Linked DNA regions of Xenopus tropicalis. The protein of the gene in region 2 interacts with the protein of the main gene of each other region in a biochemical or structural test. Links are inferred from orthologs where the notes say so. Each region holds a gene or a part of one and is shown on either strand. Other genes may lie near its edges. The genes, in order: pten, slc9a3r2, pdgfrb, kcnj1, slc9a3, tbc1d10a and abcc4.

Evidence for each region.
Region 1: the proteins of slc9a3r2 (region 2) and pten form a complex in vitro, tested with the Homo sapiens proteins (2 studies listed by BioGRID and IntAct, with this or other methods). The link is inferred for Xenopus tropicalis from reciprocal best matches to the Homo sapiens genes NHERF2 and PTEN.
Region 3: the proteins of slc9a3r2 (region 2) and pdgfrb form a complex in vitro, tested with the Homo sapiens proteins (2 studies listed by BioGRID and IntAct, with this or other methods). The link is inferred for Xenopus tropicalis from reciprocal best matches to the Homo sapiens genes NHERF2 and PDGFRB.
Region 4: the proteins of slc9a3r2 (region 2) and kcnj1 form a complex in vitro, tested with the Homo sapiens proteins (2 studies listed by BioGRID and IntAct, with this or other methods). The link is inferred for Xenopus tropicalis from reciprocal best matches to the Homo sapiens genes NHERF2 and KCNJ1.
Region 5: the proteins of slc9a3r2 (region 2) and slc9a3 form a complex in vitro, tested with the Homo sapiens proteins (2 studies listed by BioGRID and IntAct, with this or other methods). The link is inferred for Xenopus tropicalis from reciprocal best matches to the Homo sapiens genes NHERF2 and SLC9A3.
Region 6: the proteins of slc9a3r2 (region 2) and tbc1d10a form a complex in vitro, tested with the Homo sapiens proteins (2 studies listed by IntAct, with this or other methods). The link is inferred for Xenopus tropicalis from reciprocal best matches to the Homo sapiens genes NHERF2 and TBC1D10A.
Region 7: the proteins of slc9a3r2 (region 2) and abcc4 form a complex in vitro, tested with the Homo sapiens proteins (2 studies listed by BioGRID and IntAct, with this or other methods). The link is inferred for Xenopus tropicalis from reciprocal best matches to the Homo sapiens genes NHERF2 and ABCC4.

Annotation. Positions count from the first base shown.
Region 1 is NC_030683.2:12,974,837-12,979,774, forward strand, and holds the start of pten (phosphatidylinositol 3,4,5-trisphosphate 3-phosphatase and dual-specificity protein phosphatase PTEN), read right to left. Parts: upstream 3,444-4,938; 5' UTR 2,894-3,443; coding exon 2,815-2,893; intron 1-2,814. UniProt on the Homo sapiens protein: Dual-specificity protein phosphatase, dephosphorylating tyrosine-, serine- and threonine-phosphorylated proteins.
Region 2 is NC_030685.2:18,898,428-18,902,769, reverse strand, and holds part of slc9a3r2 (Na(+)/H(+) exchange regulatory cofactor NHE-RF2), read right to left. Parts: intron 2,428-4,342; coding exon 2,274-2,427; intron 1,697-2,273; coding exon 1,659-1,696; intron 891-1,658; coding exon 825-890; intron 1-824.
Region 3 is NC_030679.2:21,229,946-21,234,287, forward strand, and holds part of pdgfrb (platelet-derived growth factor receptor beta), read left to right. Parts: intron 1-743; coding exon 744-1,010; intron 1,011-1,415; coding exon 1,416-1,543; intron 1,544-2,612; coding exon 2,613-2,781; intron 2,782-4,272; coding exon 4,273-4,342. UniProt on the Homo sapiens protein: Tyrosine-protein kinase that acts as a cell-surface receptor for homodimeric PDGFB and PDGFD and for heterodimers formed by PDGFA and PDGFB, and plays an essential role in the regulation of embryonic development, cell proliferation, survival, differentiation, chemotaxis and migration.
Region 4 is NC_030683.2:72,348,275-72,353,182, forward strand, and holds the start of kcnj1 (ATP-sensitive inward rectifier potassium channel 1), read right to left. Parts: upstream 3,369-4,908; 5' UTR 3,274-3,368; intron 1-3,273. UniProt on the Homo sapiens protein: Inward rectifier potassium channels are characterized by a greater tendency to allow potassium to flow into the cell rather than out of it.
Region 5 is NC_030682.2:72,332,347-72,337,126, forward strand, and holds the start of slc9a3 (sodium/hydrogen exchanger 3), read right to left. Parts: upstream 3,322-4,780; 5' UTR 2,645-3,321; coding exon 2,479-2,644; intron 1-2,478. UniProt on the Homo sapiens protein: Plasma membrane Na(+)/H(+) antiporter. Exchanges intracellular H(+) ions for extracellular Na(+) in 1:1 stoichiometry, playing a key role in salt and fluid absorption and pH homeostasis.
Region 6 is NC_030677.2:144,386,398-144,389,739, reverse strand, and holds the end of tbc1d10a (TBC1 domain family member 10A), read right to left. Parts: intron 2,441-3,342; coding exon 2,286-2,440; intron 2,201-2,285; coding exon 1,703-2,200; 3' UTR 744-1,702; downstream 1-743.
Region 7 is NC_030678.2:122,400,776-122,405,117, reverse strand, and holds part of abcc4 (multidrug resistance-associated protein 4), read right to left. Parts: intron 1,907-4,342; coding exon 1,799-1,906; intron 390-1,798; coding exon 300-389; intron 1-299. UniProt on the Homo sapiens protein: ATP-dependent transporter of the ATP-binding cassette (ABC) family that actively extrudes physiological compounds and xenobiotics from cells.

The DNA.
Region 1 (4,938 bases), on a different chromosome or scaffold from region 2:
ATTGGAATTTCAGTGAATGTGCACTTCATTAAAATGTGATGTGCCAACCTCTCTTTTCTATCACTCTCATTGCTTTACAGTAGCCATCATGTTCTGCAGGACAGACTCTCTGATTGCACAGGCAGCAGGTTTAAAGGTCCCAATACACGGGCCGATTCTAGCTGCCGATATGGGTCCCTTAGACCGTTTCGGCAGCTAATCGGCCCGTGTATGGGCACTACCGACGGGACTGCCTGACCGATATCTGGCCTGAAATCGCCCAGATCTCAATTGGGCAGGTTTAAAAATCTAGTCAGATCGGGGACCGCATCGGTTTGTTGATGCGGTCCCCGGACCGACTTTTCCTATACCCTTGATCGTATGGCCCCAGGGCTGTTAGCCTGGATTCTCCTAATATCGCCCACCCATAGGTTTGGGTATAGGGACAAGATCCGCTCGCTTGGCGACATCGCCAAGTGAGCAGATCTGAAGGTGCATGAGCACCTTTAGTCTGGACCTAATTGCTGCCTATTAAATCAGAGAGAGTGGTTCGCATCCTGCCCAATGCAAGTGAAGCAGTCAAGTAATCAGAGGGAAAAAAAGCATATATTAACTGTCATACAATAGGCCATGCAACCTTTTCATAGTAAATTATTGTCCCACTGTTCAGCAACCAATGATAAAGAAGTAGCAAGGGGAATTACCATTTGCCCTTCAAGGTCAGTCAGGGCAGGAATTGGGGTTAACACCCGTATAAGCTCATATGCAAACAGAAAGAAAAAAAATCAGCTCCCATGATTACATTGCATCTATGAAGAAAGAATGTAACATGCGAAAAAAAAAAATTGGAATAAACTGCAAAGAACCGTTTAATCCTAGCCAACTCAATACACGCTGTGGGCCAATTATCTAAAATACCAAATGTCAGAGGACCAAATTAGATTAAAATTGCATCATACTAAAACGAAGGCTGGCTTGAGAAAAAAAAAAAAAAAAAACCCTCTAGGAGCGCCACAACTCGCTCCTCCACATCCTGTTGGGCAGCCAAAGCCTACACTCACAGGGAGAGGAACACTTTTCATAAAAATTAAAAAAAAAAAAAAACTTCCTAGAATGGAAAGAGAATACTGCCCAAGTACTGTGCTCTACTATGGGAACAAAGCCAATAATGTTCTGCATCTGCAGCGGCCTTAACCATATTAAACCTTCTACCTCATCGTGCACAGAATCTGGGATCGGAGGGAATCGCAGCCTTTCAGCAGAATCTTTAACCGAACCCTTAAGGCAATGAGATTAAAATCCACAATTTTTGGGGAACGTCGCTTAAATTTGAACATGCCAATCAAGGTTCGGTATTACTGAATCTTATGCCAAGAAGGTGGTGTTCGGCTTAATCTAAAAACCAAGGGATTCAGTACATGATCCAAAAGGATTCATTTTGAGAATAAGAGGGCACTGAGCATACAAACATAGGTGCAGCGGTATAATAAATCGGGAGAATGTATTAATGTAAGACACCCCCACTGACATGGCAATCATATACAATGAAGCGGGCACTGCAATATAACCTCTACATTCCTACGTGGAATCCTGCAGCACACATCTATTTGCATTACCTTGCAGGACTCTCTGTAAATGGCTAATAATGAACCGCTTGTTAAATATTAGCCTTACAGCATGGCAACTCCGCTTTCTAAGAGGTTCCACAGGAACCAAGAGCAATGGGACAATGCCAGAGCATAGCCAGGGCCATTTTACAGGATGGAAGTCGAACTTCCAGGGAGTTTCAATATTAAGAGGCCTCAGTGTGGACCATCCCTAGATTAAAATACAGGTAAGACTGAATGGTAACCTACAGCGATGCTAATAAAGCTTTAGCGTGAAGACACACTGGGCTACTAGTAGCAGCTACTGAATACCAGAAAATCCCCTGCCATAGAAAATACTGAGAATTGCCTCTACTAAAACACACGTAGAGACAATTATCAGTAAATGATCAGCATTGTCTATTTTAGTAGCTGCGACAAGTAGCTGCTACTAGTAGCTCTGTGTGTCTTAGCCTTAGACCACTGCTAATATATGGGACATATATATGTTCTATAGTCTCCAAACAATGGCTGTCTCCCAATGACCCGATTTATAGGGTATTAGGGTTAACGTATTCGCCAAAGGGGATTTAGGACCTGACTAGTTTCCCTGCAGGAATCATGGGAACAATCAATGGTCAGGATTAGGGGGGATGCCCCAAATGCATCATTTTTTGGAACCGAAGCAAAACCCTAATCTCACCTGAGATATATATATATATATATATAGTGCCTATGATTGGTAGTCCAGGGCCATGAAGTCACATGACTTTTAGGGTTTGGAATCGGCCAAATTCGAACCCTTAAAAATGGCAGAATTTGGCCGAATCCCAAAAGGAACCCTGGAATGGGTGCACCCACAGTCAGCATAAGCAGACCCCCGTAGAACAACTGAACCCTTATTTTCCCAACATTCCAAGAACCCCGCTGCTCCCTGAATTTCCAATTTTCCAACATGGGCCATCCCATTATTGTAGGTGCCCCCCCCCCTGTATAACCATCCGCAGACATTGAGAGCAGAGTGACTGACAGGTTGCACATTCTTCCCTCGCCAAGAGGTTCTGCAGATGCCAAATCATCAGCCCCCCGTGTATATATCCAGATCCAAGCAAGACATTGAAGAAAAAGGGATATATCCAAGTAGATGTTGGACTACAATTCCCAGCATCCCACCCACCACACTAAAGCCATGATTTTTTTTTTTCGAGGGGGGAAGGGGATGGCACAGGATGGTGCTAGGAAGGGATACAGGTCAGGTCCAAGTCGAATCCATCCTCCTGGTACCGCCTCTTGTTCCTACTGACGAACTCCTTGATAATGGCGGTCATGTCGGGGAACCTGGGGGTGGGGAAGAAGGAGGAGAGGGGCTGCTGTAGGGAATGGGGGGCAGCAGCGGCCCCCTGATCCGGCTCCTCTCCCCCCCGGCCGCTCGGCTCTCCTCTCCTCCCCCTTCTCCTCCTCCTGCTGCTGCCGCCGCCGCTGCTGGTGTTGCCGGGGGAGGCCAGAGTACGGCCGGGGGTGGGGGTTACCCAAGCTCCCCGGGAGGCTCAGGGCCTACAATCACGTCCAGCGGAGGCTTGAGCCTGACGGGGAAAGGTTGGCCGCGCCTCCCCTCACTCTGCGGGTTCTTCCCCCAGGGGCTGCGTGCGGGGAGGGAGGAAAAAAAGAACAAGATATCCGTTCGGCTATTCCCTATGTCCGTGCTGTGGGCCGGGGAAGGGTCGGAAAGTGCTCTCTCTCAGGCGGCCTCTACTCAGTGCCGTGTGCAGGAGCCCGCCCGCCGCCACCGCCTCCGCCGCTGCTGCTCATGTCTCCTCAGCCCGCCGCCGCCACACGCTCAGGCTCCCATCATGGCTTCCTTCGGCAAAAGCCAGCGCGTATCCCTCCGCCTGTAGCGCTGCCAGTGCGATCCTTCCGCGCCTTCTCACCACTGCGCAGTGATCTGCACCCTAGCAAACTACAACCCCCACCGATCCTCCCGCCGCCAGACTAGGGATTGGGCGGTCGGGAAATGTAGTTCCGGAGCTGCAGTTCTTAGTTCCACACAGGTTGACGAAATCCTACAGATCCCTCCGCTTATAATACTTCTCTTCACAGCGCCACATCATCCGACCCCCACAGTCACCTCTTATCCCGCCAGCCGCCTTACACTAATCAGCACCTCTTCTTAACTATTTTTCCCAAAGGGATATTGGGGTGCTTAGCCAAAAAAATACACATTCTAATGGTAAAGACACCCTTTCAAAGATATGAATCTTGCATTACCGCGGAAGGATATAAGGAACTATTTCTTTTTTCCTTGAGGAGAGAGAGGGGGGGGGGGAGAGGTCACGTGGTGCAGGAGAGGAGGGAGGGGGCACTTTGTAAATGTCATTTTTTTCAAGCACTTCATTTCCCTCTCTTCCTCTCTCATGAATACAAAAAAGTGAGAGGCCTTTAACTGTTAGGGGGATGGTGCACAAGGCAAAGTCTGGCTACATGCAGCACACTCATGGCTCAGCTTGCATTCTCATTCTCCTTATACATGTGTATATTAACGTGTGTGTAGAATATAGTTATAACTGTACATGGTATAAGTGTTATATGCTGGGACTGTGTTTTAGGAAAAAAAATAAGCACCAACTTTACCATGTTGACAAGATGTGACGCATTTTTAGTCGAAAACCTAATTACAACATGAGCAAACCCCCTCAGTGACTTCTAATATCCTTATCATTTACAGTAGGGGGTACATTATCCCTTATAATACATGAGTGATACTCAGAGTTCCCTGTATAACTCAGCCTGCAGCCTTGTGCCTTTATATGGGCACAGAACCCCTCAGTGACTGCTAATATCCTTATCATTTACAGTAGGGGGTACATTATCCCTTATAATACATGAGTGATACTCAGAGTTCCCTGTATAACTCAGCCTGCAGCCTTGTGCCTTTATATGGGGGGCACAGAACCCCTCAGTGACTTCTAATATCCTTATCATTTACAGTAGGGGGTACATTATCCCTTATAATACATGAGTGATACTCAGAGTTCCCTGTATAACTCAGCCTGCAGCCTTGTGCCTTTATATGGGCACAGAACCCCTCAGTGACTGCTAATATCCTTATCATTTACAGTAGGGGGTACATTATCCCTTATAATACATGAGTGATACTCAGTGACTTCTAATATCCTTATCATTTACAGTAGGGGGTACATTATCCCTTATAATACATGAGTGATACTCAGAGTTCCCTGTATAACTCAGCCTGCAGCCTTGTGCCTTTATATGGGCACAGAACCCCTCAGTGACTGCTAATATCCTTATCATTTACAGTAGGGGGTACATTATCCCTTATAATACATGAGTGATACTCAGTGACTTCTAATATCCT
Region 2 (4,342 bases):
CTATCACTTCTCTGTCCGAGTTTGAAATGGAGAGTGGGCATGTCCTAACGGTCCCTGCCAGAGGCACAGTAGGAGGGGGAGAGCCAATCACAGCCCTGCACTCACACAAGCAAAGACAGGCTTCAGTTCCCTATCAGGTCAGCCTAGCTGCTGATTGGTTCCTATCTTATAGTGCAGGGTACGGAGGGCCGCCGGCTCCCCAGCTCATCCAGAGAATTCAGCCAGCAGGTGGAACTGCAGGTGGAACTGCTCATTCCTTCTTTATCTAGAGGAGTATAATTCTCTGGTACATTCTTAATTTTTATAGGATATGTCTCCTTTAAGAAAGACGCAGTGCATTTCAGACCAAAACTGCATACTTGAGCAGTTTCTGGATGAAATACACTGCGTGTGCCTGCAGCCGGGCTGAAGCAATGCTTTGAAATGACCCCTCATGTTTCAGATTAACATAGAAAATGATGCACAGGCTTAGAAAGAACACAGACGGTCATACTACTGTCTCTCTCTCTCTCTATATATATATATTTGAGTAGGGCATATACAAAATTTCTAGACTGCTTATAGGCATTTCCTGCACATAAGGATTTATTTAAGTGTAGGTATCACTAGGGTCTTGCCTCTCTTTTACAAGACTAAAAATATCTGAAATCCACATCTTGCAAGGCTAATTTAGATGGAAGCTGCAGACCACTGCACCTATGCAATGTGTACCCAAATGGATTGATAATTAGCTATTCAGCTTGGAGGTTTTATACAGTATGTGTCTGGATTTTAAACTGGTTAGGTGGCAACTTTACCCAGGCTCTAGTTTAGCAGCATTGTACCTGTGAGTCCTTATCCGGGCTTTGCAGATCGCTGTGAGATGAAGACGTTGAAGAGTCTCCATTCAGCTGGAAAACAAAAGACATGATGTCACAAAACTGCTGGTTCTTGGTGGAAGTTAACAGAGACATAGAATGGTACAAAATTACCAAAAATTGCCCCCATTTGCTGCTGTGGCAATCATTATGTGCCCCAGGAACTATAGAGTACTTGCACCAGCAGTATCAGGTCATAGCAGAAAACGGAGGCTGATTTGTCCAAAGAACCAAAACTGCCCTGTGTGCCACTGCCCTAAACGTAAGGAAAGAGCCTTCGGACAAGTCCCAGCATCCTTTAGTTGTTATCAGATAATGGTTTCAGTGGAACTTATTTGTTTGGTTTCTCCTCCTTACAATCAACCACAAACTGACATATTTAAACCGCAACGTATTTAGAATCCATAATTAAAACAAGGTGGAAGCAAAAGGAAGGGAGAACCTCAGAGAAGCCTTGGCAGGCAGGTTTGCATTTCCTGGCTTATATTCCCACATATTAGCTACCTCTGTATTACTAGTATCTTAAAGATCTCAAAATATCTGATAAAGTTCATTTTTGGTAGCGTCCAAAGATTCACACTATAATTTGCTATAACTTGCAGTTGCCAAATTCTCTGCACTATAAAAGAATGTCAAAAATCTTAGAGCTGTTTGTAAAAAGCTTAATAAATGCCTGAAACATTGCGATGCACCACAAGCGGCCAATCAAGTATCACTAGCACTCAGAGAAAACATATGGGATTCTGCATTCCTTTCACTGGTACTGATAGAAAAGCAGGAAAAGCCTTGGGCAATACTGACCTGTGTAGGGGTCACACCGTTGGTCAAGGGGATGGTGCCTGAAGAAAAGAAACAAGTAGTTAATAACTATATATATATATGTATATGGAAATAAAGTAAAAAATGTCGGCACTCACAGGATTTGCACAATAGTACTTACAAACAACAAGTCATAGTCAGATGCAATAAGGTGAGGTTTATTGGTCCAACGTTTCGGTTCCTTACTAGAACCTTCGTCAGGGAAAACCCATATGTATATGGAAATAATACCTTATATAGCGCACAGAAAGATCTTTCTTGTTCATATGCATTTATACATATGACAAGGAGCTAAGAAATTACTTATTTTGCACTACTGCAGTTGGCTGAGAAGTGCCTGAAACTGCGTGATGTTTTGCACATTTTGGGGCCTAAAACCTGACTAAAGTCAATGGGAGATGGAGGTGTAACTGGAGGTTTAGCCTGTGGACACAACACCCCATGTGCTATTATCCTTAGAAAAAAATATGTCCAACAAGTGAGGTCTCAGGGTACAAGGGCAGGTGGCAGAATATTTTACTCTAGGGTTTCAAGCAAATGGATGTTCTATTTAGGCCTCAACAGAGGTGGTGCGCAAGACAGAAGTCATCTCCACACCTTTTCCATGAGCCTCAGTGGGGGCAATCCCGAGCTTCTTGAAGTAATCGTCCGTCTCTTGGTCTATAACAAGTAACTTTGTTTCATTGTCCTTGGATTTGATGTTGGCCACCACTTCCGAATGCTTCATGTTTTCAATATTCTGTCCGTTCACCTAAAAAGGGAGTCATGAGATTATGGCACAGTCTGAAGTTGTTTGGGACCTGACGTTTAATTGCCTAGAGCAGTGTTAATTTATATTGGGTCCCCAAGAATGCTTTACTTTAACATGGAGGATATCCAAGCAATATGTTTGTACGTAAAATAGATGGAAACATATTGAGACATCATTGTCATCAAGGCTAAGAAGACAGCACCGTAAGCAGTACTGCATGGAAAACAATGGCTGGTAGATAGAGGATCCTAGAGGTGAAGGAATTCAAGTGCAAAGTTTGTTCTTGCTCTATTTACCCATGGTATCCAATCAGATGTTTCCTTTCAAAATGCACACCAGTAATTGCTTTCTGGTGACTGGTTACTATGGGTTACTAGACCTGAAGCAAACAGCTCTTACTACATTAGCCCACCCTACATTATATCATCCAAACCCTGTAACCACCGATGACCAGTGATTGAACTTTTACAGTTCTAACCTAAAACTAAGAGCCATGATACGCAACTGTATTTAGTCTGTGAACACATTACTAAGCTGGGAAGTGATGGTACCTCACTGTTGCCTCCTCTGACTGTTACATACCCACAAGTGCTGTGTATACACAAATGCCAGCCTGCCTGTAATGCCATGTTCAGCGCCAAGACTCACTCCTGATCTGAACTTAAACACAAGGGACTGCGCTGTTTTTTATTAGTTTTACCACAGAAATGGCTGCAATTGTCTGAGAAGGGGGTTGGTCCTGCCAATGCAGGTCAAGTTCTCATGGTGCTGCAGGGGTTAATGCTCCCCGTTTTTGCTAAAGAAGTCTGTTTCCTTGCTCCCTGCCCTCAGCCATTGCAATGAAAACAAACACCAGGGCCTCTCTTCCTGGTTTCTTAGCAACGGCTGCTACTTTCCCCTGACAGAAACAATTGCTTTGTGCTCTGACTGGGCCGCAGAGTTCTTTCATAGCAGCCCCCTGCTCCCTTGTACTCTTTCTTAAATTTTATCTTGCTATTGCTTCTCTTGTTTAGTTTAATAGAAATATGGCTTATACCGAGGCACTTTTCCCTCACTTAAAGTTTTTCCAGTTTCCCCCCTTCTGCCCCAGTTGAAACCCTTGGTCCTAACACCTTTGGATTATTATAAAACTATAATAGGCTATTAATATGTGTCCGTAATCTTAAGCATTCCCTGATATATTAGCTGTTTTTTGGTCTTCAATGATTCTATGAGACGCGTGCCAAAGGAATATTCTGTAAGTGGGTGGAGCTAAGGATACCAACCTTTCTTGGAAAAAAATCCTGTATTTTTAACCCTTTTCCCTATTGGCATCAGGGAGTGTTTTTACCAGCCAGATGGGCATCCCAGGTGGCAATCAATATCTGTCTAGTGATGTGCGGGTCAGGAAAAATTCAACCTTCACCCACACCTGACCCTAACCCGTAAAACGTTGCCATTGTAGGACCCACACTCAACCCATACCCGCTTCTTTCTGTTCTGTACACTACTTCTTTGTTCATCTTAGGATGCAAGAAAGGGAAACTTTGGAAGCAGAGAAAATGTTCTGATCCACACCCACCCTGAACCCACAATGGTCTCCCAAATTTCATCTCTAACCTGCCTGAGCTAAGGGTAAACCCATGGGTCCCATGGGTTAACCTGTACATTACTGCTGTATAGTGCTTGGCTATATACTGATCAGGAAAGCTGACATATCTTTCAAACGAAAACTGCATTGAGCTGTTTATGGGTCCTCTCCTGATAGGCCTCAATGTGACCCCCTGTGTAATTTAGGGTGCCAAAAAGGTCTGCAGTTTTTGTGACTTGGCAATGTATGGCCCGTGTACTTCCTACACGGGACAGCAACTCTCTATCCTTAATCAAAATCAACAACTTTATTTACTTTGTCTTTAATATTTGAAACTGCCAGTGC
Region 3 (4,342 bases), on a different chromosome or scaffold from region 2:
GTACATTGGTTATTCTAGCCTAAACTGCACCATATCCTGAGATGCCCAAGCATTATTGCATAGAGCAATTTTGTTTTACAGGTATAGGATCTATTATCCAAAACATTATAATTTCCGGAACTGCGATTGCCAATAGAGAATGCATTTTGGCACCAAAATCTGCCCCCTGCAAAAACCAATGTCCTGTTTAATATCATAATTTCTACTCCAATGGAAAACACCCCACCTCCCAGGTTATCCCAGATCCTTGATTGTCATTTAAAAAATACTGACCAGAAATGTTGCAGGATAATAACAGTAGTTTTAGGAGGTACTCATGGTGATTCATACCACTGAAAGAAATGAATTTATAAAGGGGAACAATAACTTTTAATTTTCAATTTGTGTCTATCTTAAATAAAATATTAAGAAGTGTTAAATTATATTTCTTTTCCAACTTAGCTTCTGTGAAGTTATTGCTGACCCAGCTGTCAGTTTTAAGCTTGCCGAAGATGCCATTATCTCGGGCTAACTGACCACAACCTCCCTCAGCACCCATCTATTGTATTATAACATATATTTGGTGTGACTAGCTGTACTCCTTCTTAGGCCATACAAATTGATACCAGAAAATTGTGTAGAGCACAAGTCTACATGAAATGAAAATGGTTTATGGCCTATTGATACCAACTGGGGAGGACTCATAATATTGGCCTACTGAGTATAACAGACTAAACATTTTTTGCTTTCTGATTCCTCCTTAGATCCATCTATGGTTTTTCTGCCAGTGAAAGAGAGTGAAGAGTTTATTTTCATTATTCACAATGTTGAAAACATCATTCCGTGCCGAGTGACGGACCCAAACATGACTGTGACTCTCCATGAGAGAAAAGGGGATACTGACATCCCTATGCACTACGACAACAAGAAAGGATTCATAGGGGTTTTCAGTGATATCAACTACTATTGCAAAGCTTCAGTTAATGAGGAGGAGGTTTACACAGAACCATTTCATGTCTATAGTATACAAGGTAGGTACTGAAGCCATAGATTAGAAAGTAGCAGAGTGGGTATTGGAACAGTCATTACTTTGTTAGGAAAGGGATATGACTTTTATGGTTATATTCTATATTTTGTGTTCTGTATACACCCTTATCTCTGGCTAATAATTTTTGCCAGTGCAACCAGTCAAAAGCTTAGTTTAATTCTGTTTGCAGTAGACCAATAACAGTTAATTTCTGGATAATGTACTGTATATGTCATAGTTTGCCTTGAGTAGGTGCCTTTGTTCTCTACGGTACAGCTGCAAGCACAGCAAGGATTCTTTTAAAGATGAAATTGTAATAAAAAAAAAATAAAGCACTATACTAGAAAAGAGTATTGTGGGACCTTGCTTTTATGCTTTTTGATTTATTGCTCCTCCCTTTTGCTTGTAGTTTCCACAATCGACATGTCAATTGAAGCAGAGAAGGACTTGGTAAAGAGAGGTGAAAATATCACTGTTAGATGCATAGTCACTAACAATGAAATCCTGAACTTTACTTGGGATTATCCTGCCAAGAAGGTAAGATGAATATTTCTATCCTATGGATAGTGTTATACTACATGTCTATATAACCAAATTGTAATGTCACATTGTAAATAACATTAGCTAGAGAGCAGCAGAACAATTTGAAGGGAGCAAGATAGCAGCTCCCAGTACATATCAAAATAGCACTCAATAGTAAGAAATCCAAGTCCGGCTTGGGACTCCTCCAGTTACATGGGAGTAGGAGAAACAATAGGTTACCTGAAAGCAGTTCTAATGTGTAGCGCTGGCTCCTTCTGAAAGCTCAGACTCAGGCACAATGCACTGAGATGGCGCCTACACACCAATATTACTGATAAAAATACATTTGTTGGATCAAGAATAAAATATTAAATGGAAGAGTGGATTATTTGCTTTGTAAACAGTGTAATTTTGAAATAAAAAGTATACAATCAAAATTACGACAGTATCCCTTTAAATTAACCTTTAGTATTAAGGGCCTGAATAGAAAGGTAAGTGCAGGTGTTGGATCCATTATCTTGAAACCCCTTATCCAGAAAGTTCCGTATTGCGGAAAGGCCATCTCCCATATACTCCATTATAAGCAAATAATAATAAAGATATAAATAATCCTTATTTGAAGCAAATATAATATTTAACGTTTAATTAAACTTTTAATCGACTTAAGGTATGGAGATCCAAATTATGGAAAGATCCCTTATCCGGAAAACCCCAGGTCCTGAGCATTCTGGATAATGGGTCCCATACCTGTAATTAAAAGTAACAATAAAATTGTAGCCACACACAGCAACATTTTTTTGGCTGCCAGGGTCACTGATCCTCATTTGAAGCTGGTAAAAGGCAGAAGGGAAATAATTTTAAAACTATAAAAAAAGAAAATATGAGAACCAGTTAAAAAGCTGATTAGAATTAGCCATTCTATGACATAGGAAAAGTTAACTTAAAGGTGTACTACCCCATTAACATTCTATCTGGGGACAGCTGAGGAGCCGGCCCAGAGGGGTTTATCCTTATCCTTTCTCTATGTGATGATTTTCCTAATAATCATTTTATTTTTATTGAATTATTTGACCTTATTTTACAGATAGGAAGGACAAGCACCCCGGACGTGATATTTCTGCCCAATAACAGCATAGGTTCTGTTTTGACCATCCACAATGCTGATCTCGATGACTCTGGAACGTACAGTTGCAGCGCTGTGGAGATGACATTGGATCAATTAGACTCAAAAAATATTGATATAACTGTAATAGGTATGAATGGTTTTTCCAGAATTATTATTTTTGAATAGTATTTTGGTATCGCTCTGGGTTCCCCATAAAATTATAAAGGTTAAGTTAAAAACTAATTTATTTAGGACAAGGAAAGGCCTAATGCCTGTTGGGGTATTTATTCATAGGTGAGTACCCCAACTGGCATGAAACATGTTAGGCTTTTCCTTGTCCTAAATAAATTAGATTTTAACATAATCTTTATTATTTTTAATTTTTTTTTGGGGGGGAACCTACATCTTTTTGAGTGAGGTATCCTACACCCACAGACTGGGGTGTTTTGTGGGCAATTCTCCCCTTGTATAACTATATTCTACAAACAACTAAAATGTAACTTCCCCATTCAAACATCAATTACTGCTTTCTGCTGCTTTTGTGCAAATAGTATTTTGTTATGGCAACATGAACACCAAAAGGGGTCATTTATTAAAGTGTCATGTGCAAAGAAGAAATAATAATGTGCCATGTTTTTACCCAAAATACAGTATTCCTTTCTAGCATTCCAGCATTATTTATAAGCACATTTTTACTGGTTAGTAAATTGTTTGCAAATGGGAAAAAAATTGCACTCACAAGGGGAGGAGAAGCACAGTACATAGACATGGGAGTACATAATTAGGTGGATAAACAGAATGCAAAGGGAGCCCTGCACATACTGTTTGGCCAAGGCATTTATTAGTATAGGCAGGGCTGCCATCAGATATTATAGGGCCCTTACTATTACTTAGTTGACAGGGCCCTTGCCCCAAGGGAGTACAGCTTATTAGCCCACCTCGGGGCTGGACCCTGCCAACCAAATAGAATGGTATTCTATGAAAAAAGGCTTAACTAAGTTGCATGCCTGGCCATGTCTCAGATCAGCCCCTGCCGCAATCAGCGGTCCCTATAATGCCCACTCCTCCACAAGCCCTACATATTTATGATCTGTGAACTGGTCACCTGACTAGGCTCACCCAGTCCCCACACACACATATTTTCCCTCTGCCTGGGTACAGGGCTCCCCTACACCGGTGTGTGATGCTCATGCACCAAAGGAGGAGCAAAAAGGAGAATATAACTTGAACACCCTTCAGACATTTTGACCCTTTTTCCACCCATGGAGGAATGTAATAAAAGTCGTAAACAGAAAAAAAATGCACACAGATAAAAGCAAAAATTCACATTTCACAATATAATGTTGTTAATTAGACTATTCTTGCATTGCAAATTTTAATGGCGCTTTAAAAGAAATTTTATGACATACACTGCGTACTGTCGCAAACAATAACATTTGCAAACTTTCTTCCATCTTCGGAAGTGGTCGCTAAACAACTTTGGCGTTCACAAAGCCCATATTAAATTCGCACAAAGGCTAATTTGTTTGCACAGAGGCAGACATTTTGCCCAATAGACTGCATACCTGTATTTATATATGTATATATAGTTATATGGGAGTTGTATATCTTGCCTAAAATGTTAATTCTCTTTTTATAGAACAAGGATTTGTAAATATAATTACGAATGAAAGCAGCATATCCTATACTATCCAGCATAAAAGCAAATT
Region 4 (4,908 bases), on a different chromosome or scaffold from region 2:
AGATTGCATGTCCCAGAATCCACCACTTCACAATGGAAGAAGGTGAAAGAGAGGTTGATCACTCAGTGAGAATAAAGTGGGAGTGGAGAGCTGGTCCCAACAACACAGGCAGATCATCAGGTGTTTGAGTAAAAAAAAAAAACATTTATTTTTGGTTCTTTTTTTACATTGTGAAATGCAAAATGTATTTCTTACTCATGAAAAACTAGTCTATGAAAATCTATTGCCCATGCAGCTGAAAAATCATATTATATTTGACATATTTTGTGCAGAAAAGTTAAGGTTAATATCATTTAAAGTCAACATGCTATACTTTTCAGGAGCATCCAAGACAATAAGTAAGCTTAGATATCCATCAGTATACAACCCTATACCCCATCTACTCCATTTGGTCCCCATAGAATGGACAGTCTCAGCAGCTGGAAACATATACTGAGGACTCTAAACAGTTAGATCCAACTCCAATGGTCCAACAGAACTATATAAGTAAATGTTTTTTCTTAGATTTAGCAGAGGTAAAGAGACTCTTTATATAGGGCAAATTGGAATTCTCTCAAATTATTATCCCCAGTGGCTGAGCAATAATACTAAAAAGAAAGTCATTAATTGCAATAAAATACTTCCCATTTACAACACATACAGCACACACATCAGACTAATTAAAAACATAAGAAAATCCCTTAACTCAGGAATACAATCACACATTTATGCACAGTGGAAGTGGTGTTTGATTTCTGACACCTTCTATACTCTCGCACCCCTGGGAGATGACAAACAACACCTCCCTGGGAAAACTATCTATTGGGTTCTAAATGCATCTGCGCATTCTACATGATTAGGAGACCTATAGTTCCATTGTGTTTCTGATCTTACTGCAAGTGTTAGAAAAAAAATTAGACATTACCCTGATAGATTACCCGGACAGGTACATGCAAACTTGTACTGTAACCTGTCCCTCTTTCCTCTGAAGTGTTTATCTTGTTATTTGGAGGGAAATTATGTTACTTAATTCCCCCTGGAGTTCACTTTTGCATATTGAAATTCATAGGGAAAAATATTATGGTAAATCCTCAAATAACTTATGCATAACTGTGCTTTTTAAATTTCACCTTATATATATGAAAAGCTCAATCCAGCATGTATCTCATAATCTCATAAATGATAGTCATTGCAGTGCTAAACTCTAATATTGTGTCCAAGAAACACAGAAGCAACAATTAAGGCTACCAGTAGTGAGGACCGACTCAGGGGAAGGAATCTTAAAAAAAACTAATATTCACCTACCAAGAGAGATCTTTAGCTGGTAGAGTATGAGTAGACTGTGCTGATGTCTCTATTTATATTGAATAAAATTAGACTCTTACGTCGATGTCCTGTTCTGTGCCAAATAGCTTTACTGTAAATATTGCAGCTATTATTCTGGTGAACTGAGCTATAATTGGTAAATACAGTTTAGTTACTTCCTTTACTAAACACCTTTTCTTTAAATGTGAAATTCAAAACTTTTGTAGTTTGCTTTTTTGTTGGCAGCAATACCTGTCTTTTTATGTTGCTATGAAACAGAGTCACAAAGAAAATCCCATTGGCCTAAACAGTGCTTTACATTTTCTTGAAAATTAAAAAAAAATGTAGACAATTACATAACTTTTACCACAACTGTCCCAGTCCTTGAGCTAAGCAGTGTCATGACAAAGGATGACTGGTCTCTTAAAACAAAACCCAAACAGAAAACAATTATACAAAAAATAATTATTAAAAATCTGCCTAAGTGATTTTATTTTTGTACCTGCAGAAAGCAGACTTTAAAATAGGTGTCCTGTCCTGCTCCAGTTAATATGACTTGGCTCCTGGCTGATTAGGGTGCAAGTTCCTAGTAATAAAAGTAAAAAATGCTCTTGCAGTCACTTAAAGACTTGGCCTAATTGTATCCAGTCAACAACAAGTCACTTGAGGAAGGGCATATCATTGTCCTGAAACGTTTGATCCTGCTGTTTGTATCTGAAGCACCGCAATAAACAACTAGGAACACCCCACAGTGATTATACAGGTATTGTTGCTTCATCTTTATTTGGATATATATACTGGCAGTGGGGGAGGCCAGTTGCATATCTGTTTTCCCCTCTACATTTCATATTACTAATTGTATCCAGTGACTGCTTGAAAACCTAAAATTCCACCAACAGCTTAAGAAAGAGGTAAGTTCATTAACAGTCTGTAGATCAGTGTCATAAAGAGTTCAGCCATGTCAGCAGCAGTTGCAATATCTTTAAATAATGTAGGCAAAACATAGAACTTTTCAGCTGTCAAACCAAATTCATGAGCAGTTCATTCATCCATCCATCCATCATCTTTGGCTAAGCTATAAGGTTTGAAAATTCATAAGTGCACCCCCCTTTTTTATTTCTTTAGGGTAGGCTAATTTAAGGGGAAGGTTCATATTACCCTTTTGCTGGTTTGTCCCCAGTCAAGAAAGCATTCTACAATGTAAATGATCATTTAGCCATCAAAAAAGTAGTAGTATCACAAAAATTGTTTCTGTGAGATTATTCAAATTTAGGATGTACTTTAAAAACTGAACTGGTAAAAAAATACAATTGGACACAATTAGCAAATCTTTGATACTCCACTGAGCAACCTACTGTATACAGACTCTTCAGCTGCAATAGTGCATAATTATGATAAATCATAAGGTAACAAACTATTTTTTTCATATGCAAAGACAAAAATCAGACGGAAATTAGGAAATATTTAGAACGTAATTTAAAGCATCTTGATTTAAAGAGCAAAAATTGTACCATACCTAGGAACCCAGTGCAACCTGTCAGACATTTGCTTTCAAGCAGACTATTTAATGCCACCTGCGGATTAGTGGAGCATTTGTATGTTTAAAATCCTCTTTGTTTCAGTGCTAATGAGAAGTAAATGAAGCAAGAGTTCTGCCATTTCCAAGATAATCTGGCCACCGAGATCATGGTTTCTACATTATATCAATGAGTTGATTTTGCTTTAGATGAATAAGAAGTATGATAGTCCCTGCTTACATAAAAATATAAATATACAGCTTTAAAATAGATACCCGTGTGTTTTACTGACCAATAACAGTCATACTAAACACAAACTAAAAGTAATCACAACATAAAAACAGGTTATATTTTCAATTTTGTTGAAAAGGATGTGAAAAGGATGTCCAGCATTACATTGTATTGTTAGCTATTAAAAGATAATTTTGCAGCCATATATATATTATTTTAAGTTTAAAGACTGTATATTTACCTTTTATCCAATGCCTAAGTATTATTAAAGGTAGTCCTTATTTTCTGGCTTCTACCTTACTGGATTCCTTAATGAGTTAGACAGAGCTAGCAGGCTCTGTTATATATCCAGCTCAGCCATGCAAAATCTGGTTGTACCTGGAAAAGGTGGAGTAAGGCATTGCTAATTAAGTGCCTCTAAACAACAGTTAGCACAGCAGCTGTATGCTGCAAGGACAATCACAATAGTACCTTTTTCCCTTGTGCTACAATTTGGTTTGTAATCATTATATTATATTATTATATTATATAAAATTATATAATATATTGCAAAAAAGGCAGAAGTGGGCTTACCAGAAGTTGCGTAACCTTAACTATCATAGTACATCCAGCCCCAGGAACAGATGTTTTTGCTTAATTCAAAGATGATCATTGATCAGTTGTAAACAAAACCCAGATCTACGGACAAGTTTCCACCTGTTTGACCTAATTTGAGGTTAGTAGATACCTTAAAAGACAGACACCTATAGATCCAGATTAATCCTTTAACCTGTGGTCAATGTAAATAGTGCATATAATGTCTGAATGTAGTAGCCGGGGATGCGCTAACTATCATACAGCAGACCTTACTTTTGCCATACTCTGCAAGTGAATGGGGGGCCAGGGTAGTTAGTGTTTCTGACGGGGTCTGAAAATTCTTTTTTACGGGGGTCTGTCCAAATTATGTTATGCTTCTGGGAGCAAAATAGAAAAAAAACATATTGGGGCCGATTCACTGAAGGTCGATAACGCTTATCGCATGCTTTTTTGTGTTAAAAAGCATGCAATAATTAAGTCCTGATTCATCAAAGTCATTTGGCATGTGTTGACGCATAACGCATGCGCAAAAAAATGCACTACCGCAATGCGTTATTTACCTCGCATTCATGTGATTCACAAACACACATGAAGCGTTAAATGCACTAAATTTTGCATTAGTCTGTGGGAATATTAACACCTACTTGGGGCAGGCGTTAATTAAAGAAAATTGTGGTTCGTGAGCTTTTGGCAACACAATATGGACTTTGCAGTGGGATTTTTTAAAGTATGTGTTGGCCCTAGAGTGATGCAGCCTCCAGTTTTCAGGGAAATGGTAATTTTCAGAACAGTAGTTATCCGAAAGTAATGGTTACGTGTGTAAAATTGTGCACTAAAATAGCAAGCAGTGAAATACTGTATATCTCGTGCAGCAGGAAATAACGCGCACGCGGGGAATTAACGCAAGAAAAAAACTCATTGCGAGTTAAATAACGCAAAGAACATTGAGTCTTAATTATGATGCCTTTCCTTATAGTGAATCAAGTGTAAGTTGCAAAAATAAAAACGTGATCAAATTTTTAACGCATGCTATAAATAGCGCTCGTTTTATTGCCCTTTAATGAATCAAGCCCATTGTCTGCTTAGATGCTTGGTCAGAGAGCTTTGTAGATCTAAGCGGAGCTTTAGATATGTTTCCCCAAAATGACACATATATAATCTATTCAAACATTTTTATTAGCTGTAATTTATGAAATCCCCTCCCTTGTGTACTGGAGTATTTAGTGCAAAATTGCATCCATGATTGCATAGTTACAGAGCATTTGTGGCAGGGGATTTCAGTCCAGCCTCTGGTTTATAC
Region 5 (4,780 bases), on a different chromosome or scaffold from region 2:
TGTCATGATTTTTATGATGTACTTTTAATTCCTAAATTACACTGTATTACCAACATTTTTTTTAGCTGTAATATTGGTGTGTAGGCAGCCATCTCAGTGCATTGTTCCTGATTCTGAGCTTTCAGAAGGAGCCAGCATTACACACTGCTTTCAGATAACCTATTATTTCTTCTACTCCAATGTAACAGGAGGAGTCCCAAGCTGGACTTTGATTTCTTACTATTGAGTGCTATTCTGATATCTACAGGGAGCTGCTACCTTCCCATTGTTCTGCTGATTGGCTGTTGGGAGGAAAGGGAACATTCATGCCATTCTATTTCACACAATTTCAAGTGAAACTGAAATTTCGCACGATTGTTCATAAAACCTTCACCAAAATTTTTCAAGAAACTTTCGTACGATCAACTTACAAATTATTGTGACTATTAATAAATACATCTATGATTGAATTTTTTTAAGGAAAGAACTCTCAGGAGTTTATGCGAGTTTCTTAAAACAAAAAAGTAAAGTTGTAGCAAAGCTGTAGCCACAAACGTAATACAAACTATTAAATTTAAGCAGTGCAGAATTATTCGCACAGTGAACATATTTGCCTTGCCAGTTTTTATATTTAGAAAGCTGGACAAGACTGGTGCATTTAATGTTGCAAACATAATTGCAAATTTTTGTTCGCAATGCAAATGTCCTTAAAAACTTTTAAAATGTGGCATATTCGTCAATTGCAAACATTTATAATCACACTTTGTGTCTGAGTTAAGCCACAACCTAAGGGGTGGGAAAAATATTCACTAAACTGATTTTGCAAATTGCGAATGTATAGTCACAAAGTGAAAAATATGCCTTTTTTTGCACAAAATAAACACATGTAGAGGACATTCTCTCGCAAACCGCAATCTCATTTGCAAATCTTTTAAGATTTCTAATTTAAAGACAAAGTATAACTAATAACAGTGTTCTGAGAACATTCAGAAGACCATTGATACCTTCGCTAATGGTAAAACACTGTCAGACAAGTGGAAAATATACTTAAAACAGATTTTCAAAAAGTTCATGTCTACGCTTCCTATTGTGTAGGGTCCACTTCTTTCAGCCAGCTCTCATCCACAGCTCTCTGCAGCTGCACTGACGGGCAGCACCAAACAGATATTGTCCCAAAAATATATGCTTTTGCATTTTAGGACTGATACTCCATGTAGCTACACTTAGGCCAACACTTTGCCTGTCAAGGGCATCTTACACAGAACTCCAGATGAGAGTGGATCTGCTTCTCTCCACCTGCCTACAAAATTCAGGCAGAGAGAAGAGAACCCTACACAGCACTTTTAAAGTATAGAATGAAAATTGAAAAAGCTTGGTGGGGGAGGCTGGACAAATGTTGACGGGAAAGAAGGCACTGTGTACAGTGAAACTTGTGGGACAACAGAAGGGGGCCTGTAATAAGAGGAAGATCTGTCTGGTTGGCTTAGGCTGAGGGAGCTATAGAACAGTAAGTGAAACTTGTAGGGAAGTGGGGGCTGGTGCTGGGATGTATGTTGGGGTGAAGGTAATGGGGGTTGTGCGTGACAGTAAATAGGCAGCAGTCTGAATAATTAAAGCATAACATTCACCATACTAAAACTTAAGTCTAACTTAAGGCTGAAGTCACCTCAGATTTCCATGACCTCTACAAAAAATGTATAGTGACTTCTAAGTACATTAATCTGTATCTATATAATCACTTTCCTTACCAAACAGTACTTTTGCCTAGTAGAACTAATGGAATAAATATAAATTCATCTATTATCATCAACAGTCTTTCAAGCAAGTAAAAATGTGAGATTAAAAATAAGCTTGATTGAATACAGGTAAGGGAACTGTTACCTTGCATGCTTGAATAAGGGGTCTTTCTGTAATTTGGATCACCATACCTTATGTCTAATTAAAAATAATTTAAATATTAAATAAACCCAATTTGATTGTTTTACCTTCAATAAGGATTAATTATAACTTAGCTGGGATGAAGTGCTGATACTGATACTGTCTTATTATTACAGAGAAAAAAAAACATTTTCAAAAATGTGAATTATTTGCTTATAATGCCTTCTTGTAATTCGGAGCTGTCTGGATAACAGGATTCCGTATATTGAATCCCAAACCTGTACAACTCTCCTACTTTAAATCCCCCTCCCTTACAACTGTGGTCTCACAGCACCAGAAACTACTGTATGTAAATATAAATATATTGTAGTGTTAAAATTTGTAAACACAACATTCTACCCAATAATATTATACTATATACATTACTGCCTACAACTCTTTTGGTAACCTTTATAGACATATATAAACCCATAAACACTTTATTTTATTTTTTATACTTTTTTGAATATTAGCATTTTTTGTAACCCTGAATATTTTTTTTTAGTTAGGGATCAGCTGTGTACCTAGTTAACTGTAAAATGTAAAAACAAAAATTAAATACAATATAAATTAATAACTTACCAATTTTAGCCAAACTTGCAACCAATATCCAAACAGCAATTATGTATGGATCCTGAACATGGTGCCACTTAAAAGTAACAATTTGAAGACTGGTTGGTATGTCTCCATGCCCTCCACCAGATTGTTCTCCATCAGCATCAAGCCCTGCACTTTTGACTTGGGCCATTATTAGCGTAACTTTTCTTTGATATTTTGATATTTTTTCTTTAGTAGGATATTTAAAGTTTATAAACCCATTCTTCTTCACACCATTCTGTTCTTTAAGGTTAATCAAGTGTAATATACTATTCCCAAGATACCTTGTATCTTCCTGCTAATGCACAGTAGAGTTGTTGAAAGGGAAAAAAAAAGTCAATTACCTAAATCGATAAAAATCAAAGGATGCTATCTGTAACAATACCAACCTGTCTCTGCTTCTCTTTTAATATGTTCAAGTTGGGTGGTGCTTTGTGTTAAAATCCGCCCACATCCACCTGTATGAAACTGTTCACTTGTAGTGAACTCCTTCCCCCTCCCTAAAATTGCACAGTGCCCACAGGTATGCAAACCGATATGAGTGGATAATCTCAATGTGTCTCTAATTCCATTAACAAACTGTGCCTTTTTTATACCAAATATTAAATATAGGCATCCACAGGAGGGGGCAATGAGGTTTACTTGACACAATCCCACCTGGCATTTCCCCTGGAAAAGCAAGTTCCCAAGGTCCCCATGATGTTATTTAAATCTAAAGGACCCAGCAACTGCTGGTTTTCTGCCTGTCTCCTGATAGCAGGGTCTCTCTGCTATGTACCTGAAGCCTGATACTTGTTTGATCTTAATCCAGAGGCTGAGCCACAGCCTGTTCACATGGTGGAGTGTGTGTGTGTGTGTGTGTGTGTGAGAGAGAGAGAGAGAGAGGGAGGGTGTTAGACTGGTCCTGTTTCAGTGTGGGTGAGAGAGAGAAAAAAAAAGTGCTTGTTTCTGTGTTTGTATGTGACCGTGTCTATGTGAGAAAGAGACTGTGGGACAAAATAAGTGTAGTGTAGTGAAGTACATGAGGAACCTGGTTACCTGTGACTAATCAACCAAGGGAACATACCAAATCACAGTTTAAGATCCTCTGCATATATACTGTTAAAATTTTTTGTTTTATTGTTTGACTTTCACATGCCATAAAGTATATTATGTTTTGAGTCAGCCTACCCACTTGATTGGCAGTTCTGTTTATCTTGAGATTGTGTTTGATTAGTGTGTGCACCTAATTTCTTTTGGAGACTTTCCTTAATCTATGGGTTTGGGGTGCCAAACCTGAATTAGGGACAGAGAACGGTAGTGGAAGAATCTCCTTCATGCTTGTCAGTGTTTGTAATTGTTGAAATAATTGAAGGGTGTGGGACATATGCACCCAGACCAATTGTTACACATGGTGAAAGATACCAAAGAAAAATGTATTGGCTAAATAGCCTATGAAGCCTGGTGGAAGCAATCTACTGGAATACATTGTGTTTATTGGGTAACAAAATCATGTTTAGAAGCCATTAATAAGACTTGGTGCATTGAATATGCTTGCAATATTCTTTATATACTGTATATATTGCTATCAATTTGTAGATTGTTTACAGAAGTCAATTATACAGCCTACAGGAGGCTCTGGTCCTCCTGGTTTTCTTTGCCACTTCCTCCCCACTGTTCCCAATAATATGCCTAGGTTCCTTGCTGTATACCCTAAAACAGTGATCCCAAAACTAGTGGCTCGTGAGCAACATGGCCTCAAAGCAGGTGCTCATTTTTTAATTTCTGGTAAGGAGGCTAGTTTTGGTTGCATAAAACCAAGTATAACACTTTTTCCATTTAAATGTGGCTCATGGGTATAAAAGTTTGGGGGTCCCTGCCCTAGAATATCTCAGTACACCAGATCCTATTCCTAGTTTAAAAGACAGATAAAACCTAACCATCCTCATAACAGCTGCACCGTTATTTTTAAGGTTCAGTGCAACCTAGAAAAAGAGAGTATGCAGTGCCTAATGAAACCAATTCTATAAAAACACCAAATCCTCCAACCTACACAGATTCTTTAGTCACAGTTCAATCTACCTTAACTTTATCAGGCAAACACTCCTTTTTGCAAATAATAGATTTAGAAAGTCCTCATCAGTATGTTCTTTCTAATTTTCTTAAGTTTGTACCTACTTCCTGTTCTAGAGTGACTAAGGTGGCTATACACAGACAGATTTCAGCTGCCAATTTGAGCCTTTTAGACCGATTCTGCATCATATCTGCCCATGTATGGCCATCCCCGACTGGCCTAACTGACTGACAT
Region 6 (3,342 bases), on a different chromosome or scaffold from region 2:
TACGCGGCGGCGCGATTTCGGCAAATCGCCGAAGTTGCCTCACAAGGCTTTTTCGGCGATTTCCCGAAATCGTGCCGCCGCGTGGGTGCCATCCCACCAGCGACTTACATTTTCGCCGGTGGGATGGCAGGTGATGGCAACTCGGGGAGATTAGTCGCCCGCGAACAGGGAGTTTTGTCGCGGGCGACTAATCTCCCCGTGTGCCAGAGCCCTTAAAGCAGTATAAGTACTTAAAGTAAAAGGAAAGTTATAATCACTGGGGGGGGGGTGCCAAATGTCAGGCACACCCCAACTAATATAATTGCTTACCTGATAGCCCGGACTGGTGTTCCTGTTCACTGAAAACTCACTACTGTAAAAGCACCATATCACATCATCTTCCACTGCTCAACGGTTACAAATGCACAGTAGAACGTCAAGCAAGCGTTTTGCTTATAAGTTATAATCCTACTGTGCATGTAGAAAAGAAAGGGGACATTGAAGAATGTAAAGTCTATTTTACTGGAAAGTGCCAAAATGTTAAAAAAAAACAGATACCAGCTCTGCAACTGAATTTCACCTACCTTCCAACCAATGTCCCAGGTGTCCCTTTGAGTTCCAAATTACAGAAAGACCCCTTTTCTGGAAAACCCCAAGTCCTAAGCATTCCGGATAACAGGTCATGTATGTATGTGTTTTTTTTAACTCTGTTTCTTCATAGTTTAATATGACACATTGAAACAGTGAAAACAAATACAATCAAATATTTTTTAACAGGAAACAATCCTTTTATTTTAAATCTAAATATTGGCAAGCTTCTTTATTTGCTTTTTTTGCAACAGCTAATACCATAGATAAATAAATATTTTTTTTGCTTGGCTGTGTTTAGTATAACAATATAATACATTCTGTAATACAAACCCTATCCTGTAGTGTCAGGAGGGGGTAGATAGTGTCGATCAGGTAATGTTGAATGTATATCCTTTATTTCCTTGACTACAAGTTTAGATTTCCTCTTTTAAGACTGGACATGGCAAGAGTACAAACACTCCATTGTACCGGAATATGGTGCAAGATTCCTATTCTTTTAATCCATTTATTGGTACAATGAGTGTCTGTGGGATGAAGGAAGAGAGCCCTCATGTTGTAGCTTCTCTTGTTGGTCCCATGGAAAAAGAAAACAATAAGATCTTTGTGCATAGTAGATGATGTTCTGCTCTTAGCAGTCAGACATCTGGAATGGTACAGGGAGCGCACTCGGCACCTCTTACAGTGACACCAGTCATAATCAGAAAATTATCTTACAGTCTACAGTGGATGACATTTCTCCAACTGCCCTTTGTGGCCCGAATTTTACTGCTCATTTCTGTTGAGCCTTGGGAAAAAATTCTCAGGCAGAACAGGCTTTCAGTGTTAGGTTCAAACCATAGCTTACTAAAGTATGGTTATATGTGGCATGGTTGTAAACTCGGTACAGTCCTATGTTTATAATCCATAAATTCCTACCATGTGCAAATATTATCCATCCAGATTAGTTTCTACACCTCCCAGTTCCATAAAGGTTTACCTTCCCTCACTTTTACTCACTGTCACTTTGAAGCTATTACACAATATAGCTGTGATTTAGAGGGTAGTGTGTGGAAGCTTACAGGATGCCTGATGGAGACACCTAGGAGAGAGGAAAGGTGATTGTATCCCTACATTTTCTAAATGCGGAAACACTTTATAAATAGGTGTCTTCACTTTCCTTAGAGCACAAGCTCTCATTGGATTGGTGCATTTTAATTGCTGCATTTAGGGATTGCTTAGGGATCAGAGACTGTTCCGGTTCCTGCCGGTGGTCTATAGTCCCTCCTCCTCCATTTTCCTCCTTTACTGCTCCATTAGATTGGTCTCCTTTGCCCTTTTTCTTCTTCTCTAGTTTCTTTCTCTCTTTTTCCTGTTTTTCCTTCTCTTTTGTTTCCTTGGCTTTTTGTTTCTCCTGTTCTTTCTCCTCATGCTTCTTGTTTTTCCGTCCTGTGGCTGTATCGGGAGGAAGAATGATAGAAGGAGAGTGTGTCAATAGCTTGTGGCTTGCAGTTTCAGAATCACTAATAGCCTTGGACCCATGCATGCGGGAAGGGCATTTGTACTGTAGCTCCCCAAATTCTTCTTTCCACTTCTTCAGCTGAATTAGATGCTCACGTTCTATATCTCGTTCTGTAATTGGAATGTCTAATATCTAAGAGAAAGAACACAGTAATAAGTCACTTACAAGTATTCTTTTTCATATCTAAAGGTGATTAGTGAAGGCTGTAGAATCTCACCTCTGCAATTAGGAAACCCTCATACATGTATTGAGGTTCGATAGCCTTTAGCTTTTCCATGGTCTCGTACTGACCCTGACAGGTTTTGAGTTTCTCAGAAGAGCCAATAGTGTATTTCAGAAGAACCAACGCAACGCGAAATATTATTTTAACACCTACAAAATTGGAAAGGTTGGATTAACAACAAACGCAAATAAAGCATCTGAAAACATACCACCAATCAAATACAACCCTCCTAATGCAGAATCAGCCTCTGCATCTTACCCCACCATATGAATCCGCCTATGCTGACCTGAATGCCTTGAACCTGAACACCTTCACCAAATACATCTCTGTGAATCTCTCGCTCTCCCTGCTAAGCATCAACCTCAGCATCTCATTCCCTAATGCCAGGCACCACTTTTTCATGAGAAGCAAAATGCCCGCTCGTGCCTTAGCAATAATAGCAACAAGTCTCTTGCGTGTTAAAATGAAATTTTGCAGATGAAGCGGCAAATAATAAAAATCACACCGAGAGACATTTAGCACAGGAAGTTACACACACACACACACACACACAGACATGACATCCAAATGATGGCTCATACATACTTCTGTATGAATATACATACACTGCTGCAGGGATGTATATACAGGTATAGGATCTCTTATTCGGAAACACGTTATCTAGAAAGTTCTAAATTATGGGAAGGCCATCTCCCATAGACTCAATTTTAATCAAATAATTCAAATCTTTAAAGAATATTTCTTTTTCTCTTTAATTATAAAACAGTAACTTCAACTAAGATATAATTAATCCCTTACTGGAGGCAAAACTATCCTATTGGGTTTATTTAATGTTTATATTGTAGACTTATGTCTACAATATAATGTTTATAAAGTATGCTTCTATAGACTAATTACAAATGGAGGATTGCTCCATGGGGCTTCCACAGAAGTACTCCAGGCTGATGCAATTTCAGGAGTACCAGTCCGGGGTATCAGGTAAGTGTTTACAGTAACTGGGGGGGGTGCTTAATATTTGGCACCCCCCACTGAATAATCCTTTCCTTCTCCT
Region 7 (4,342 bases), on a different chromosome or scaffold from region 2:
CAATAAACCCAGCTCTATTGTTTCATCAGCAAGAACCTTCTGGCGTCCATTATTTCCAATTACTTTGCACACAGCATAAGTTGCACTACAGCCCAAGGATATTTTCACTTAGCGAAAGCCCATCTGATGTGTAGAGTCCTACGTATCCCATGCTCTAAAGCCATTATGGCTGGCTCTGCCTGTTTTTACAGCCAAATAGAGGTTACATAATATATGTAAATAAAAGAAGTTTCAGCATTTTTATTCCACTTCAATTTTCAGTGCTATCAGAATCTATCAAATGTATACAAAATACTCACTTTCCCTGCTCCAACTGGTCCGATCACAGCCAATAATTCCCCTGGCCTTACACTACATGAGATATTTTGAAGTGTCGGAATTTCCAATGTCTGTAATAAATGTAATACATCATTAGGCCTCTGTGATTTTCTAGTTGAATACAACTAGCATGAAACTTAAAATACTATATTATAGTAACACTATTATAAATTATAAAGTAATCTGAATAATAACATTATTTACATAGTTTCCTTATCTTGCCTTACTGGGGTTTCCTAATTCTTATTCTAATTCTAATTGTTATTATTATCATTAGACTCATCTTCTTTAATAGTGTTATTATTGATTACATTTTTATAGGAAGATGCTTCTTCAAGCACCAGTTCCACAAAAGGGCTAAATATGGGGCAAATTTTAAGATAGATAATATTTTATGTAGGAGCACTGTGATGACAGGTTACAGATAGCAGTTTAGTTCTGCACATGCCCCCCACAAAATCAAATCACTGGCCTGTAGGGGAAAAAGATTAGCCTGATTTAGCCCACCACAACAAATCATCTTAGCATTTATTCCCAACTTTACTTGCACTGCTGAAAATATTGACAAGGGCAGCTGGAAACACAATCAAGTACAGATTCCAAAAGAAAAGTAATAAGTCCTGCTCCTTAAATGAACAGTAACACCAAAAAATGAAAGTGTATAAAAGTAACTAAAATATAATGTGCTGCTGCCCTGCACTGGTAAAAGTTGTGTGTTTACTTCAGAAAGTCTACTATAATTTATATAAATAAGCTGCTGTGTAGTATGGGGGCAGCCATTCAAAGGAGAAAAGGCACAGGCACTTAGCAGATAACAGATAAAACACTATTGTATTCTACAGAACTTGTCTGTTATCTGCTATGTAACCTGTGCCTTTTCTCCTTTTTTCCAGCTTGAATGGCTGCCCCCGTGGCTACACAGCAGCTTATTATATAAATTATAGTAGTGCTACTGTAGCAAACACACCAGTTTTACCAGTGCAGGGTAACAGTGCATTATATTTTTATTACTTTAAAGCTCTTTTATTATTTGGTGTTACTGTTCCTTTAACTTGGGGTGGCTAGAGCCTTTTCAGTTGAACATTCCTACTGACCACCTGTAAAATGCACATGTTGTACAAATTATAAGTAACCAGTATCAATGTACTTGTATAATGCATGGATATATAACAAGTGATGCAGTTTGCAACATGCAACTGTACCACCAATCAGTAGTCTAGACCCATGCTCCCCATGGCAGGGCTAGCATCTAGGAAGAAAAGCCTTAGAGAAACTACCCTACTGAAGCCATTGCAGTAAACAACTACATCTTGCCATGATTCATATGGATATTTTTGTCGTTTATGGAAGAGGTGCAGAGTGTGACCTACAGCACATGGGATGTAAAGCCTATTGGTTTGACATATAATGTCCTTCTTTTCTTTAAATTACACAGATCAGTCTCTGCTCAAAAACAATACTATTTATATTTTTACCTTACCTTGTCCCAGTAGCATGTAACATCTTGAATTTGAACTAAAAGGTTTTCTTCATTTTCCTCTGGCAGTTCTAAGGCTGGTTTGAAGATTTCATCCAGCAATAAAAAATTCTGTAACAGAACTAACAGAGTTGATACAAAGAAATAAAATCTAAGAAAGCAATTAAAGGGAGTCACTTTAAATAAAATGGAACAACATCAACAATTAAATTTAGCATGTCCATTATACTGCTGTAGTCAGAAGTCAGGGCAGCATGGCTTTAAGCAATTACATGCATTATCAATTCTCACATTACACGTACTGGCTGCTTGAAATATGCTGTACAAACCCACATATAAACCTTGCACAATAGGAAAAGACATACCAGGGTGGTACCGCAATTAAAAAAAATTATTGTGTAACAGCAATATTGCATTCATAGAATAAACACACAACATCCATCAGTGCAAAAATAAATATATACTGTACCACCCAGCAAAAGGTAGAAAAAAGAAATAAAGGCAAATACTCTGGATGAGAGAATACCCCAACGTTTCAGCTCAAACGCCTTTGTCAAGGGAATTTTAATTCTTAAAATGGCAAATAAAAATTACACATACTACTAAAAAAGTATATTTTTATGTTTATTTAGATGGCGCAGGGTTTTACATATATGCTTGTTTATGCAATATATTTTTATAGAGACCTACATGTTTGGGGGGTATATTTCTCCTTTATGCTTCTCCATGTTTGCAAGGTACATTATTAGATTACCCTATATAATGTACTCCTGTACTCCTGCTAACAAAACAGTCACAAGAAAGGGGAAAGGGAGGGGGTTGTATACTGGTAAACTAATTATTTACTTCACAAGGAGCAGGGCTGTATTTAGGTCCGGTGCCACCCTACGACCCCTATGTTGCAGGCATCATGCGCATGACATCACTTCCTGTTATGTGTGACGTCACTTCTACCCTACACTGCGGTGTGAAACCCTCATCCCCTCCCTCAGGGGACCAACGGATGGCTACATACAAATACAGCCCTGGCAAGGCCCTGCTAATAAAACAGGCAAAAAGTATTTTCAGCACAAGCCTCATACACTGCACTCATGTTAAATAAAGGGGTATACTCCACTTTAAAGGGGTAGTTCACCTTTAAGTCACCTATTATAGAATGTCTATTCTTAGCAACTTTTAGCTGGTCTTTATTTTTCTTTTTATTATTTGCCCTTTTCATATGCTTGTTTCGAAGCTTCTAGTGGCAGTCACCGTGGGGGTCTAAATGCTACTGAACTGTGATGCTGTAATTTTATCATTACTTTTTACTACTACTTTTCTACTTTACTACCCTCTTCTATTCATGTTTCAGTCTCATTTAAACCACTGCCTAAATGCTAAGGTAAATTGTAATGTAGCTGCTGACTGAAATTACAAACTGGAGATCTGGTTTTTAACAAACTATCCGGAAAGTAAAGGTAAAGATATTTCAGAATGTCTATTGATACAGACAATAAAAGTCACCACAGTCATCATCTCTACTATGGATAAGAAGAGATTAAACCTCTTTTTAGATTTACTCCAAGCCTAAAGTAACATTTATAAAGCATTAAACTAGAAAAAAAGGTTTCTGGTTAAAAATTATTTATAATTTATTTCCATTGGGCAAATGCCAGTGGAGACTGGTGAAGCAGAGCTTTACTTCAGCATCTAATTATCAGCATATGAATATCAGTTGAAGACTGATATAATAAAAAATAAAGTTAAAAGTTTTAGTTTTTAGTGCTTTAAATATACATTATTGTAAAATCTCTTTAATTTTCTATGACTTTGTAACTAAATAGCACAAATCCTAAAGAAAGCCAAACACAAAGGGGTTTGAGTTACCTCTTAGTATGATGTAGAGCGTAATATCCTAAGACAATTTGCAATTTGTTTTCATTTTTTTTAATTGTAGTTTTTTTTTTAATTATTTACATTTTCAACAGTTATCTGGTTGCCAGGGTCCAAATTACCTTTGCAACCAGGGAGTGGTTAGAATGAGAGACTAATATATGAATAGTAGAGAACCTGAATAGAAAAGTAATTTATAAAAAGTAACAATAACAATAAAACTAAAGCCTCGCAGAACAATAGTTTTTGACTGCTGGGGTCATTGACTTCCATTGGAAAGCATATAATTCAAAAACTATAAGAAGTAAATAATGAAGACAAATTAAAGTTGCTTAGAACTGGCCTTTCGATAACATACTAAAAGTTACATTAAAGGTGAATCACTCCTTTAAGTATCAGGTGCTTAAATCTTTTAAGGGATCTGGCACACGGGGAGATTAGTCGCCCTGTTCGTGGGCGACTAATCTCCCCGAAATGCCATCCCACCGGCGAAAATGTAAATCGAAGTAGCCTTGAGACGTTTTACATTTTCGCTGGTGGGATGGCATTTTGGGGAGATTAGTCGCCCGCGAACAGGGAGATTTGTCGCGGGCGACTAATCGCCCCGTGTGCCAGGGCCCTAAGCAAGTTTTAAATATGAAAAGATCCTTATCATATTATAAAAGTAAATAAAAT